Linked DNA regions of Drosophila melanogaster. The protein of the gene in region 2 interacts with the protein of the main gene of each other region in a pairwise test. Each region holds a gene or a part of one and is shown on either strand. Other genes may lie near its edges.

Region 1 (3,757 bases), on a different chromosome or scaffold from region 2:
ACCTCCGAGCAGAATCACACGCTGTCCACTTCCGCCCAACTGTGTGAGATCAATGGCTGCAATGAGGAGCAAGGAGCTTGGACCCAAGTCTGCGCCACCTGCGATTCAGCAATCGGCCGGGGTTGCAAGATAGATCTCTTTCAGGTCAACACCGGCAGGTGCAATGTTAGCTTATACGAGGAATGCCAGCAGGATGTTCTGTTGGGTGAGCAAGAGGATAAGTACTGCTTCAGCTTTCGCAGACTAAGCCGCGTTGTCAGAGGATGTTCTACTAAAATTCCAACAGATTTGGAGCCGTATGTAGAGCAATTAGAAAAGTGTAATACCAGTGACCACTGCAACGCAGGATGCATTACGCAGCAGAAGTGTTTTACATGCAACTCCGTGGATCAGGAACTTTGCCGGACAAATATTACGGCTATAGCTAATAGCACTTGTAGCTCCGCTGAGGCCTCTTCCTGTTTCTCCTGTGAGTACTCCAACTGGAGTATTCAGCGAGGCTGTGGAGCACCGCCGGAAAATCCTCAAATCACCAAGTGCTATGAATGCGATGAAGGCGCTGGGTGTAATAGTAAGGATTTCACCCGGTGCTACCAATGCAGCACGGATCAAGCGGGAGCAGGCTGTGCAAATTGGGAAAGTCCTGGCGAAATCTACATTGAAGAATGCGATGAACCGGCTGCACCATGTGTGGTTGTTTCCTTTAACAACGCCACCACTGCGAGAGGTTGCCAAAAATCGGACTTCAGCTGTGCTTCCGCAAATGTGGCCAGTTGTCGACTATGCGAAGGAAGTTTCTGCAACAAAGGATCATTTCCGGAGGAGCGCCTCTGGTGTCATCAGTGTAGGGGAGTGCAGGACTGCGAGGAGATCTCCAGGGGACAAACGGCTATGCCTTGTCCGGCTCGAGCAAATGAGCCGGAGGATCAAGAATTGGCCTGCTTGGAGTACTTTGACATCAACAGTAAAGAAATTGTAAGAGGATGTCGTTCCAATCCCGAGCTATACTACGAATGTCTCTTAAGGAGTAACCACTTCGACAGTTGTCGCACTTGTCACAGTCAGGCATGCAATAATAGTCCTGGCCGGGAATTAAGAGCCAGCTATGAGCTGGAGGCCAAGGCATTGTCCTTGTTGCAAGGCAAGAGTTCCGCAATATCCATCAAATTTTCGAATGCAGGTTACGGAGTTTGGTTGATCTTTAGCGTTATCTATATTGTAACTTGCTGAGACTATAAATAAAAGGATAGCAGAACTTAAAAGAAAGGTCTCTTATTCCGGGGGCGTATATCCAGGATTTAAGGCACGACCACGGTGATTGAAGGAATAGAACGAGGGGAAGTTGCCCAAGGTGTCCCAAGTTTTCTGTTGCATGTCCACGGTGGCGCGAATTTCCTTGAAGTTGCCAACGATCTCGATGATGTTGTAAATCACAATCACCAAACTGATGACGGTCTGCAGGATAATCTAAGGATTGATAAAGGAAAACTTTTCGTGAGTAACCATGCAAGCACCCTAAATGCACCGAAACCTACGTCCAATGGAAGGCTATTCCATTCCTGCTCCGTCAGCCTCAAATAGGTGCGATCTGTGGAGTAAATGCGGCACTTAGTGGTCCAAAGTTTATTTACCACAACAGTGACGAAAACTTACGATGGGCAGCAGAAAAAGCAGCATGTGCCAGGCTGGCAAATCCGGCAATTAGCAAGAGTTTGTTAAACAGTTTACTGCCCATTTTTATTGAACAATTACGAATTACAATCACAGTCGGTACAATTTTCTACAAAATTTTGCTAAATTGCTATCAAAATGCGGGCACACCTAGGGCTGGGAGCTTTGGACGATAGTTTAGGGTTGTCTGTATACCTCATATGCCGTAATATATTTAAGAATCTTAAATTTAAATATTTTATTGGGAACAACATTAAAATTATACAAAGATTGATTTTGTGATCAAACTAATTATATAATTATATTATAACTATATAAACATACAATAAATATTCGGTTACATATTTTGCTTAAGAAAGTTAAAAACTTTCGTAAAATTTGAAACCGTCTGTTCATCAGCTAGCTTTAAATAATGATTATATACATTATTAGTAACAGAATGAATTAAAAAAATTGTAAGGTATATATATTGCCTCGAAATTCAGCTGACTTTGGTATTTGTCAGCACACGGTCACTCGAAAAATGCCGCCGCGCCCGCTGGTATATTTGAACGCTCGTGTCACGGTCGCACTTTCATTCGTCTCTCAGCGTTCAGAAGATTCGGTAGTCGCGGCGGTCGAAGCGGAACACCAGTTGTCCAATAAGAAAGCCAATTTGCAGCAAAAAAAAAAAAAAAGACCGGCAATTCAAACGCACCTTGCAACTGTTTTTTCAAAGCCAAAAAAGGACTCAGGGCCACTCCCCACGACAAAAGCTTACGTGCAACGAGTCCGTGTGTGTTTTCCTGGCGCATCGCCGCATTTGTGTGTGTATCCGGACATCTCTTTTACGGTCCTTTTTGCGTGGGTGTGCCAAAAGGAAGAGAGAGTGAGAAGGCAGCAGAAAAGGGCAGAAAGGGAAATTCCAGCACACTAAAAAGCGAGTCAACAAGGAGCGACACAATGTCCGTTTCCTCGAACGCCTCATCCGCCTCCAACAAGGACAGCGTGGACAGCCCCAGCAGCACCACCAACACGGACAGCTCCGAGCTGACGCACATCCTCAATCGGCGCCAGGAGATCATGGAGTCCCAGGAGGCGGGCATCGAGGTGCGTCGCACCTACAAAGTGGTCAACGTCTACACCGACTTCCCCGAGTTCTCCCGTAACCAGATCAAGGACTACCAGAAGACCTTCAATACGTAAGTGAAGGCCGCCGAGCAATATTTACTTTTGTCCAGAGCCACTTTAAGGCGCAATATAAATTATATTAATATGGCGAAAAGGAAGCCAACATTTTGTTTATTGTTTTTGAAAACACCTGAGCAAAATCCGTTGCAATAATAATAGTTTATGATAAGTAACGATCATCTCTAGATTATTAAATAAATACAGTGTACTAGACACACTTGTATACATTACAAACGTTTGTAAATGTATATCTATTACACAAGATAATTCAAAAACAGAAATCAGTTTGCAAAACTATTTTAGGGCTTTCAATTTGCGCCAACCTTTACACTCCTTTCACCTGCAACGGCCACTTTCCCAGGCATCTCACCGCATTTGCGTCTCATTAAATGGCAACATAAAACTCATGCGCCTAATGATCATTTAAATTGCATTTACTGCAGCCCCTCCTGCAGCCAACCCACCCCTCCCCTGCCCCCCTGGGCAATGGGGCATGACTCACAAGTACTTGCGGAGAAGTTTTGTCACAGTCACTGGCTTATTCCCAAGTCGTGCTCCCGTCGCGCGGATCATGAGTCAAAAGTGGTTTTCTGCCCCAACACTTTCAGGCGGATTCAATTATCACACCACAGTCGAGCTCCCCTAAGTGCAATTTCTGTTAGCAAAAGCCAATCTTAAATATCGGTAATTCCGTTCAAAGTCATCATTCGATTATAGTGGCAAGGAAAAAGCTTATCCCACGTTAATACTCGTAATTCATTGAAACATTCTTTATTTATCTCTAAGGTTCTAATGCTCGACCTTAAGACTTAATAGCACCCATAGCGGTTATCGAGGTTCCCTTGTATTTGTTTACGGTTTTGCATTACCACCCGACAAAGCCAACTGTCGTCAGATGGGCCACCTTGCGAACGAA
Region 2 (5,380 bases):
CCAGATTAAGCACAAGGGTGGGTCGATTAAAATGAAACATCTCATCATTGCTCTTTGAAAGCACTATAGCACCAACATACATTTCCAAATTAAAAACATGTTTCTTCAAGAAGCAACAAAATTTAACGACTTCCTTTAACTACTATAACTTTAATAACAAAATTGACCCACCCCAATGTACGTATATGTATATGATAATCCTATGTGCCTACTTCGTCTTTCCCGAGATTTGCCGGCATCGCAGAGTCGCCTGTTCCACCGCTCCAGACACCGCAGCCCGAAAACCTGCAATCGACATCAAAGGTTGAAGTGGCGGCGATAAGCGAGTGCGTCATCGGCGTCATCATCCCAACTTACCTGACAGCTCGAGTTGTCTGAGTGCCGCTGCTGTCGATCCCGCCGGACTTGTGACCCCATCCTTGAGTTGTCCGGGATGCATACCACTGTCCCGCACCATGTGACCTGCGCCCAGGACTGTTTGCGATGCCAAACGATAGGCCAGATCCCTGGGCATGCCCATGTGAACGGCTCCATCCGCCAAGGCCTCAATCATCACGAATACATAGGCCGGTCCACTTCCGCTCAGAGCAGTAACCACATCCAACTGGGACTCATCCACCGGCTCACAAGTGCCCACGGACTGCAGCAGCTTCTGGGTAATATCCGCATCTGCATCTGTGGCCTTGGATCCGCGAACGAAAACCGAACAACCGGAACACACGACAGCCGGCAGATTGGGCATCACACGGATGACGCGAGCTTGTGGAGATAAACTGGACTCGATGGTGGACAAAGTGATGCCCATGGCCACGGAAAGGAATAGTTTGCCCGAGCTCAATGGCTGAATCTCCGACAAAACCGAGGGAACCACTTGGGGTTTCACGGACACGAAGACCACATCCGATTGCTGCACAACGGGTGCATTCTTGATCACTGTTTCCACTCCCAGGGATTGAAAGGACTGCAGGGAGAGCTTATCTGCCGGATGGACGCTGGCTATCAGGGTATTGGGTTTGGCCAGGCCTAGGAAATGAATTAGGAAATTTGGCGATTATATGATGAAATCCTTAACGTCCTATCCTTTTGTATCTAATTATAAGATGATGTTAGTTCATATATATATTGCATATCCAAGTGTGTCTTATCTATTGTCTAGCACAAAGTATGTCAGACTACAAATCTATTTTATTAGTGGCTTTCTCACCGGCCGCTAGGAAACCCTTAGCCAAAGCCTTGGCCATATTCCCGCCTCCCAGGAATCCGATCTTTCCGATTGCCGACATTAGTTAATGGGTTAAAAAGTCCGCGGACTGTGAGTACTGAACTTTCTGCTGGTGGAACGGCAACTGTGCGCCCGCCGCCGGCGTTGACCAAAAACAGACGCGAGGATTGATAAGAAATCTTGCCCGGCCAACCCCCTCCCAATCCCCTGCGTTGAGGGAACAACACACCCAGCGATCTGAGCTTATCATTGAGGTTCCTATGTGTGGGTTCGGCAATCGACAGCGGGGCAAAATAATAATAAATACTAAGAACTTTTCACACATTGTAAATAAAGAAAACATTAAACTATTAATAGTGCTGTTTTACAATCGAATTATATTTGAATAAAAATAGTCATTAAAATCCACTTAAGATAGAGACAAATTTTTAATAGATCATAAATTACAACCCATTATTTAAAGTGAAGTTATTATGATTTCAGCTTATATAACAATCAATTATAATATTGATTGATAATATTGATTATATATAATATGTAGTTTAAAATACAGTTCAAGTGCCGCGATTGCTAATATTTTGCCCGCCGTTGTATTTCCTTATCATTTAGAACAACTGTCATCCGCAACTCATTCACCCATTAATCGGCGTGACGAAGTCCAAATTAATGCGAGATGCCGATGCCCTGTAATCCCTGTAATCGTGCGTTGATCCACTTTCGTGTTTTGGATTCCATTTCTATAAATTTCTATATAGCTGTACTCTTTGGCAATCCTTACTTACCAAGTTTCAAAAACATTCCGCACTTTAAGAGATAACAATCGTTATCAATGTGAGCGTGATAACAGTAGAGGCGATATACACATGCTTATTTGTAAAGGGCTACATTAGAAAACCAAAGTATTTACTTTGTATATTACAAAATATTGCCATAGGGATTTTGGGACATACCCGGGTATACTAGATACGTTGGAAAGTAGATACCGCCTAGTAAGCAATTTTCGAAAAGAGTTCTTTCTTCTTTTTATCATATCTCGCATTAAGTAACGGGTATTTGATAGTCCAGCAAATCGGCTAAAACTAAAAGATCTATATTTACTGTTTTCAAAGAATTGCACAGATTTGAGAGTCAGTTAATTAGCGGATACATACACCACTCCATCCAATTTTCTCACCGTATGCAGCAAAGTTTCCCTCCTTCACCACGTGGTGAGGAAGCCAACATAGACTCTGGTAACACTAAACTGGAGATGAAACTTACTTCCGCACACGGTACCACTAAACTCTTCATGCCAAAATAAAAGATTAAATTAAGATATTGCCAGCTCCAAACCCGGATATATAACCCCACAAGTGATTAATACGAATTAGGGGCATCCACTGTAGCGGAGTAAGCTCGTGATACTACCAAAATTTACCAAAGTCAAGCCCTAGTTGTCCCCTACACGTGTGTGAGTGTGTGTGTGCGGGTGTCGGTCGTGTGCGCCTGTATATGTGCGTTGTTTTCTCACTCAATTTCATTGCAATTTAAAAAAAAATCAACAAAAACGCAGTAACAGCAGCAACAACAATTAGAAAACGCACTTGTTACCGAGGTTGGCTGCCAGTACTAGAAAAGCAAACAATAAACAACCGAGCTGGCGAGACTGAAATCCATCGCATGATAAACACACCGAACAAGAATCTTCGACAGCTTCGAAATTCTGGAGAAGGACGGTACGTATTGGTATTTATGCGACCAGATACGAGTATAATTGATTTGCAAATTATTCCACAGGGCCACGTCGCTATCTTATCTGCTACAGTGAGAGAAAAACCAGTAGGCCAGTCGTGTTCGATCATAGTTTAGGTTTTCAAACTTGGGCGGTAGTAATTAAGTTCGTTAAAAATTAGCAAAACCAAAACAACACCATGTCCTCGTCGTCGACGTCCGGCGGCCGGAAGCAACCCACTGCTGTGTCGCGCATGAAGCAGGACTATATGCGCCTCAAGCGGGATCCCCTGCCGTACATAACCGCCGAGCCGCTGCCCAACAACATCCTCGAGTGGCACTACTGCGTCAAGGGGCCGGAGGACTCGCCCTACTACGGCGGCTACTACCACGGCACCCTGCTCTTTCCGCGCGAGTTCCCATTCAAGCCGCCATCCATCTACATGCTGACGCCGAACGGTCGCTTCAAGACCAACACCAGACTGTGTTTGAGTATATCAGGTATGTGTCAGTTCCATATCCGTAGGAGTCCGAATCCACAGCTAGAAATAAAGCGGATTGGTTGTCACAGTAGTAGAACATTAAAGAATGGGTAGTAACTACAGGCTTAAAGACTACCATTAACTTTGAACGCTGAATAGTTTTAGTTATGTTTGACGAAGCCGATGGACTTTGTGGCTTAGTCAAACATGTTTTTTGCGACCTTTCAAATAGATATTCGTGTATCTGTTTAGATCTGTTTAGATTCTATTGTTCCAAACATATAACTTATCAACCCTATTGGGATTTTCAGATTTTCATCCGGACACTTGGAACCCGACTTGGTGCGTAGGCACCATTCTCACTGGACTGCTGAGCTTCATGGTGAGTTATTACGAATACATGATCATACGTTTGAGTAAGCCAATCTTAAATCCTTCACAGCTGGAGAGCACACCCACACTCGGATCCATCGAATCATCGAACTATGACAAGCAAATGTTTGCTCAAAAATCACTAGCATTTAACCTGCGCAACACCAACTTCTGTGAGCTGTTTCCGGAGATAGTCGAAGAGATCAAGCAGCGGCTGCGAGGAACACAGGCGGCAGCTGCTGTGGACGGACCCGCTGCCAATGGAGTAAAGCGTTCCAACGGACTGGCCAACGGAGCGAGCCTGGCATCTGCGGATGGCAATCTGGCGGTGGGCGGCTTGGCCAATCCACTGAATGCAGCGGACGCAATCGATGGCGGGGCGGCGGGTCAGGCGGATTTGGCCAGCGGCGGAGGAGCGGCGGTCCAGAATAGTGCACGGAACTCCTATCTAAACTGGCAGTCCGTCTATTCAAACCTGGTGATCATTATCTGCTTTGCAATTTTTGCCCTCATTGTTAATTACGTGATCAAGAACCTGAATCAGGAATAGAATTACCGACACAGCCTCTATATTTATATAAAGAAATAGTTACACATCCGTATGCGTGTGCATATCTAATCTAGTTTACTTTAAAATAGTCTTCGTGGATTGTATACCGCTTGAGAAGTATTTACATACCCCGCTTGATTCAAAAACAACCGCACTAGACCCCCGGCATCCATTCCCACGATTCCCACGATTGCTGACTTAGTCTGAAAATTATCGGCAGCAAAATTTGAAAACACAAGAACACACAATTCAGAACTCGACTTGTGAAATTTAAAAATTGTTTTGTTATGTATTCATTACTATTAACGCCTAGTTTAATGCAACGTGAATAATGCCAGAAATATGTTTGTAAATGAATAAAGAAGCCCGGCAACATATGAGCTCGTGTACAAATTAACCAATATATGTGTGCGTTTCTTGATTATTAAATGGATCTTCATTTTCAGTCGCCACAAATTGCTTGGATGTTGGATGATTCAACTTGTATAATAAGTTGTAATTTGTAGTTGGCTTTTCGCTGGCTAAGCGGCTTAAGTATGAAGCAAAGTCCGCTGGCAGTCGGCAATAATTTTTCCTCACACTAGCTAAGTACGGCCAAATCCAATAAACTGATGCCTGGCTGGGCAACAATGTTACACATTTAAACCGCTTACATTGTTGGCCATCTTAAGCCGAAATTACACACATGACGCTTATTACTCCTGGAAGTGGGCGTTGCGGACCAAGTTCGATGGTTACAGTGAATTGTGGTTACCACAATCTATGTCTTTGAAGTAAAAACAATCTATGTCTTTGAAGTAAAAACTACAGAATAATACTATGATTTTTTTTTAAAACTATCTATAACCAGTATATATATTTATACGATATATTCGCTTTGTAGGAATATTTTATAGATTTAAAGTCGTTTTAATAGTTTTCCAGGAAAATAAAATACTTGCTGAACAATAACAGATTTATAGAGAAGAGAGTTTAGAATTATTAGAAAATTCGGGAAAAGAAAATCCGATTACCCAGCAGACGCGGCAAACTCCTTTAAAATAA
Region 3 (4,141 bases), on a different chromosome or scaffold from region 2:
CTTAATGCAAGACTGTCGCAACCAAAAAAAAGGATTATACTTCTTAAATCAGAATCAGAGAATCAGACATGACATGCTCGTCTTGTTCGCAAACTCCTGCTCGATAACATCGACAATATTTGACAAAACAGAGCAGTAATCATCTTCAGGGAGCCAAAGATTTTTAAATTTATAGTATTCATACTATGTTTTTGCCCACATTAATCGTATTTGGTAATAGGCTTGATACTAATTTTTATCTTAGGTTAGCCCCATTAAATTAAATGCCCTTTTTTTTTGAGTAATGACAGCCTTGTATCGAGTGAGATTAGTTTTGTTGATTCAGATTAGTCACATGAAAGGTCTCTGACTGCCATGTAAATCATAAGTAATAAGCAATTTCATTTGTTGGCCAATTAAGATCCGAAAGTTGTACATGTTTTAAGCAAGTTATGTGTCCGTAGCAGAGTCCGAATCGCAATATCTATTTATATAATAAAAACCTAAAAAAAAAAACGTCGCAAGGTTCAAAAAAATCTTAAAAACGGGGCGCCACTCAAAAATCACCAAAAAATACAGAATATTTCCATTCCAGTATTTTCTTGTTCGTCACTTCTTTCTTGTCACGGTGGTGAAGAAGCAGTCACAGTTTAATGCCAGCCGAAAGCCGCACCACGTGTTGCCCATTCCAAGAAAAATAAACTAAATTAGCACGATGGCTAATAGAAAACGCAACAAAATTTTGCTTAATACAATAGAGAAAGATATGTCAAATAGCTGAAAGTTATATGGTAACTAAAAGATGTGCGGATCACGAGAAACGAGCAATTCACTTTGACAGCCTGGCAGCTGTGACCCAAAGAGTCTCACTTTGAGACTTCTTGGGACCAACCAGCATGGGAAGTTTACGCGGTAAGAATAATACAGAAAGAAGATCTCCACAACCATGATGAAATCGTTAGATGGGGACAACTGATTACTGTGACTGATTCATCTCGATAGTAGATCTGATTTTAAAAATGTTGCTAGCCTACGTGCTTTCATGTTCAACAGCACTAAAATAACTCGTTCTTTTTATATAATGCAGAAAACTGATGTTTCTGACTGAAAACCGACGAAAGAATGGTTTCCACACTTGTAAGTATAATGATTGCTAAAGATTTATGATTTTTTTTTTTTTGTGATGAAATCGTTAGATAGGGACGTCTGATATCTGTGACTGATTTATCTCGATAGTAGATCTGATTTTAAAAATACTGTTAGCTTGCGTGATTTTATGTTCAACAACACTACAATAACTCTTTCTTTTTAGATAATGCAGAAAAACTGATGTTTCTGACTGAAAACCGACGAAAGAATGATTTCCACACTTGTAAGTATAATGATTGCTAAAGATTTATGATTTTTTTTTGTGATGAAATCGTTAGATAGGGACGTCTGATATCTGTGACTGATTTATCTCGATAGTAGATCTGATTTTTAAAATATTGTTAGCTTGCGTGATTTTATGTTCAACAACACTACAATAACTCTTTCTTTTTAGATAATGCTGAAACCCGAATTTCTCTGACAGAAACCCTACGTAAGAAGGATTTCCACACTTGTAAGTTTAAAGTGTTATGTGTACGTATATATAAATATGGGAGTATTTGAGGCCAAGTCTTAAGCTATTGTCTAGGAAACAAAATACCAAATACAAAAACGAAACTAAGGGTATTCTTTAAAACAACATGAATTTTGTTTGTATTTATTAAATCTATGAAAATGATCCGTAAACAAAAGTAAAGAAAAATAATTTTGCACATATTTTTTTTAGGAAATCTTTAGAACTGTCTGTAAAAATATATATTTAGAGTAACCCCTGAATAATGATTAAATACTTATGCATAATTTTTATTTATTTTACAGGGCTCCCTTGCATGATGCCAGAAAAGTGGACGTAAAAAATCTAATAAAATTATATTTATAGAAACAGAATGCAGCTTGCCATAGTTTTATTTTTTAAATATTTTTGAGAGACGGTTGGGAAAAGGGAGAAAAAATATTGATACATCGTGTAGGCTGGAATAACTAATTCAAAGTCACACCAATACTTTTTCCAAACCAGTTTTGCAATCTGCAGTAAAGTTTTTACAAATTGATCAAATCACTTTCGTTATAATGAGGTTTCGGTCGCTGAAGAACATATGGCCAAAAGAGAAGTTGGAGCAATTCCTATTTTTGTTCATTTTATGTGGCTTGCCCGCCATATACTATGTTCTAATGGAGATAATTCTGCCGGAGTTGTCGGATTATTGGTCACCTGGTTACGTATTTCAGCTGCTGCTGGGACTGTTCCTCTTTTCGAATGTGATGTCCAACTATGTCATGTGCATCCTGGTGGACCCCAGCATCGATCCCAAGCTTATGAAGAATCAGTTGGTGCGCGGACAGCACAGTGAGGACTGGCACGAGTGCGACAAGTGCGGGATTCTTGCTCCACCCCGGTCACGTCACTGCAGGAAGTGTGGCGTCTGTGTCCTGATGCGAGATCATCACTGCTTCTTTACTGGTTGCTGCATCGGTCATGAGAACTATAGATACTTTTTCTATTTTCTTATCTACTTTTTTCTAAGCTGCATGATTTCACTAACGTCATCTTCGATATTTATTTACGTTCTGCATGGGGGCAGATACCAGCTCTTTATGCTGACACATCCCGCACCGAACTCTGCCTATTTTAACTCGCTTATTATCAGGATAATCTACTTTAAGTTGCCCGATATATACGAGCTGGTGTTCACTCTGGTATTCGTCCTGCTGTGGATCGGGGTATGCGTAGCTACCTATGTGGCTTATGATCAGTGGTCTCGTGGCTATTTTTGCTATGATTTTGAACTTCAAAACATTCCTTTTGACCGAAAACTGCGCCGAAACTTCAAGACGTTCTTGGGCAGGCGAATGAAGTGGACCTGGATCTCCGGATTTGTTCCCAGCCAGCTGGACCACGACGGATTTGATCTGGATCCCGACAACGAACGTGTGGCAGATTGGTGCTCAGAAACAACCATCAAGGATGGCTAAATAATTTTATGCATTCTCTGTGTTTTCCAAATTACCGGTGCGATGAAAAATTAAAAATTCGAATTCATTTGATTAGTTCAGGCATGCAAGAAAGCTTTCCAAATTAAAAAGTTAAATATTTAAGGATGTGTTATTATGCGATATGTGTATGTTTCGTTTTATTTGGTCTCTACTGTGCTTGCTGATTTTCCCCAGGTTGGCAGTCTCGTCAGCTGTTTTCCTGATAACATTGACTTGCCGCAAAATGCTTGTTTGTTTAGTCTGAAATTGGCATCTGGTCAAGATCAACTGCCAGTAGGTAGAGACCACATATGGAGCCCACCAATTCGGAGTCGCGGCACCGCCTAAATGGAGGGGGCAGGAGTTCCGCGCCAGCAGGCTCCGGAGAGTACATCAAGGTGGTGGAGTCCCAATGCGAGACCGATGGATTCGTTAATGAACAGTGGACGGAACCGGCGATGCCAGGTCCAGTGCCTTGGAAGACCATTATTATCATTCTTTTGCTGTTTATCGGTGGCATTGTGAGTAGTGATTACTGGTGCCCACACATACATGCACAGTTCCTTCGAACTTCTGATCTGATGTCTTTGTCTTCAGGTTTGCATCGCCTTTGCCACCTTAAACTGGGTGACGGACACGAGCCGGGAGCGATCGGATCGGGTGTGGGCGTTGGGTATCATCGGGGCACTGACCTTCATCCCGGGAAGCTACTATGTGTACGTGCTCTTCTGCATAATGCTCAACCGCAACGGATTCACCATGGACGAGATACGAAGACTCGGCTGAAAAGGAGAAACCAAAGACACCAAATGTTTCGTCAAATAGAGTTTATTGCTTTTACACTACAGTTATTCACACATTTCATTGGCATAATTTCTTTAGCAACAATCTTAATATGTAGTTCATTATGATACATGTGTATTGCCCCGGTAATTGTATAAAAATATTTTTTAAACACGAGCTTCGTTATCAAAATGTATAATGCTTGGCGTGGCTTCTAGTGCGCGGAACATTGGCTATCTATTTAAATAGCGCATCGCTTGCTTAAATATGTATATGTTTTACAGGCATGAACTATAGGTTATATGATTTATGTTAT

The links.
Region 1: the proteins of CG5823 (region 2) and EMC5 interact in a two-hybrid assay, tested with the Drosophila melanogaster proteins (one large-scale study listed by BioGRID).
Region 3: the proteins of CG5823 (region 2) and CG18810 interact in a two-hybrid assay, tested with the Drosophila melanogaster proteins (one large-scale study listed by BioGRID).

The regions. Positions count from the first base shown.
Region 1 is NT_033779.5:18,985,767-18,989,523, reverse strand, and holds EMC5 (ER membrane protein complex subunit 5), read right to left. Parts: upstream 1,818-3,757; 5' UTR 1,736-1,817; coding exon 1,654-1,735; intron 1,589-1,653; coding exon 1,536-1,588; intron 1,468-1,535; coding exon 1,273-1,467; 3' UTR 1,231-1,272; downstream 1-1,230. Other genes in the region: CG15170 (uncharacterized protein), read left to right, coding at 1-1,230; Swip-1 (Swiprosin-1), read left to right, coding at 2,614-2,852.
Region 2 is NT_033777.3:17,531,676-17,537,055, reverse strand, and holds CG5823 (uncharacterized protein), read left to right. Parts: upstream 1-2,468; 5' UTR 2,469-2,937; intron 2,938-2,998; 5' UTR 2,999-3,132; coding exon 3,133-3,433; intron 3,434-3,725; coding exon 3,726-3,796; intron 3,797-3,856; coding exon 3,857-4,336; 3' UTR 4,337-4,731; downstream 4,732-5,380. Other genes in the region: P5cr-2 (Pyrroline-5-carboxylate reductase-like 2), read right to left, coding at 209-285, 358-1,023, 1,205-1,283.
Region 3 is NT_033779.5:20,646,898-20,651,038, forward strand, and holds CG18810 (uncharacterized protein), read left to right. Parts: upstream 1-2,014; 5' UTR 2,015-2,139; coding exon 2,140-3,042; 3' UTR 3,043-3,182; downstream 3,183-4,141. Other genes in the region: CG2611 (uncharacterized protein), read left to right, coding at 3,354-3,563, 3,640-3,828.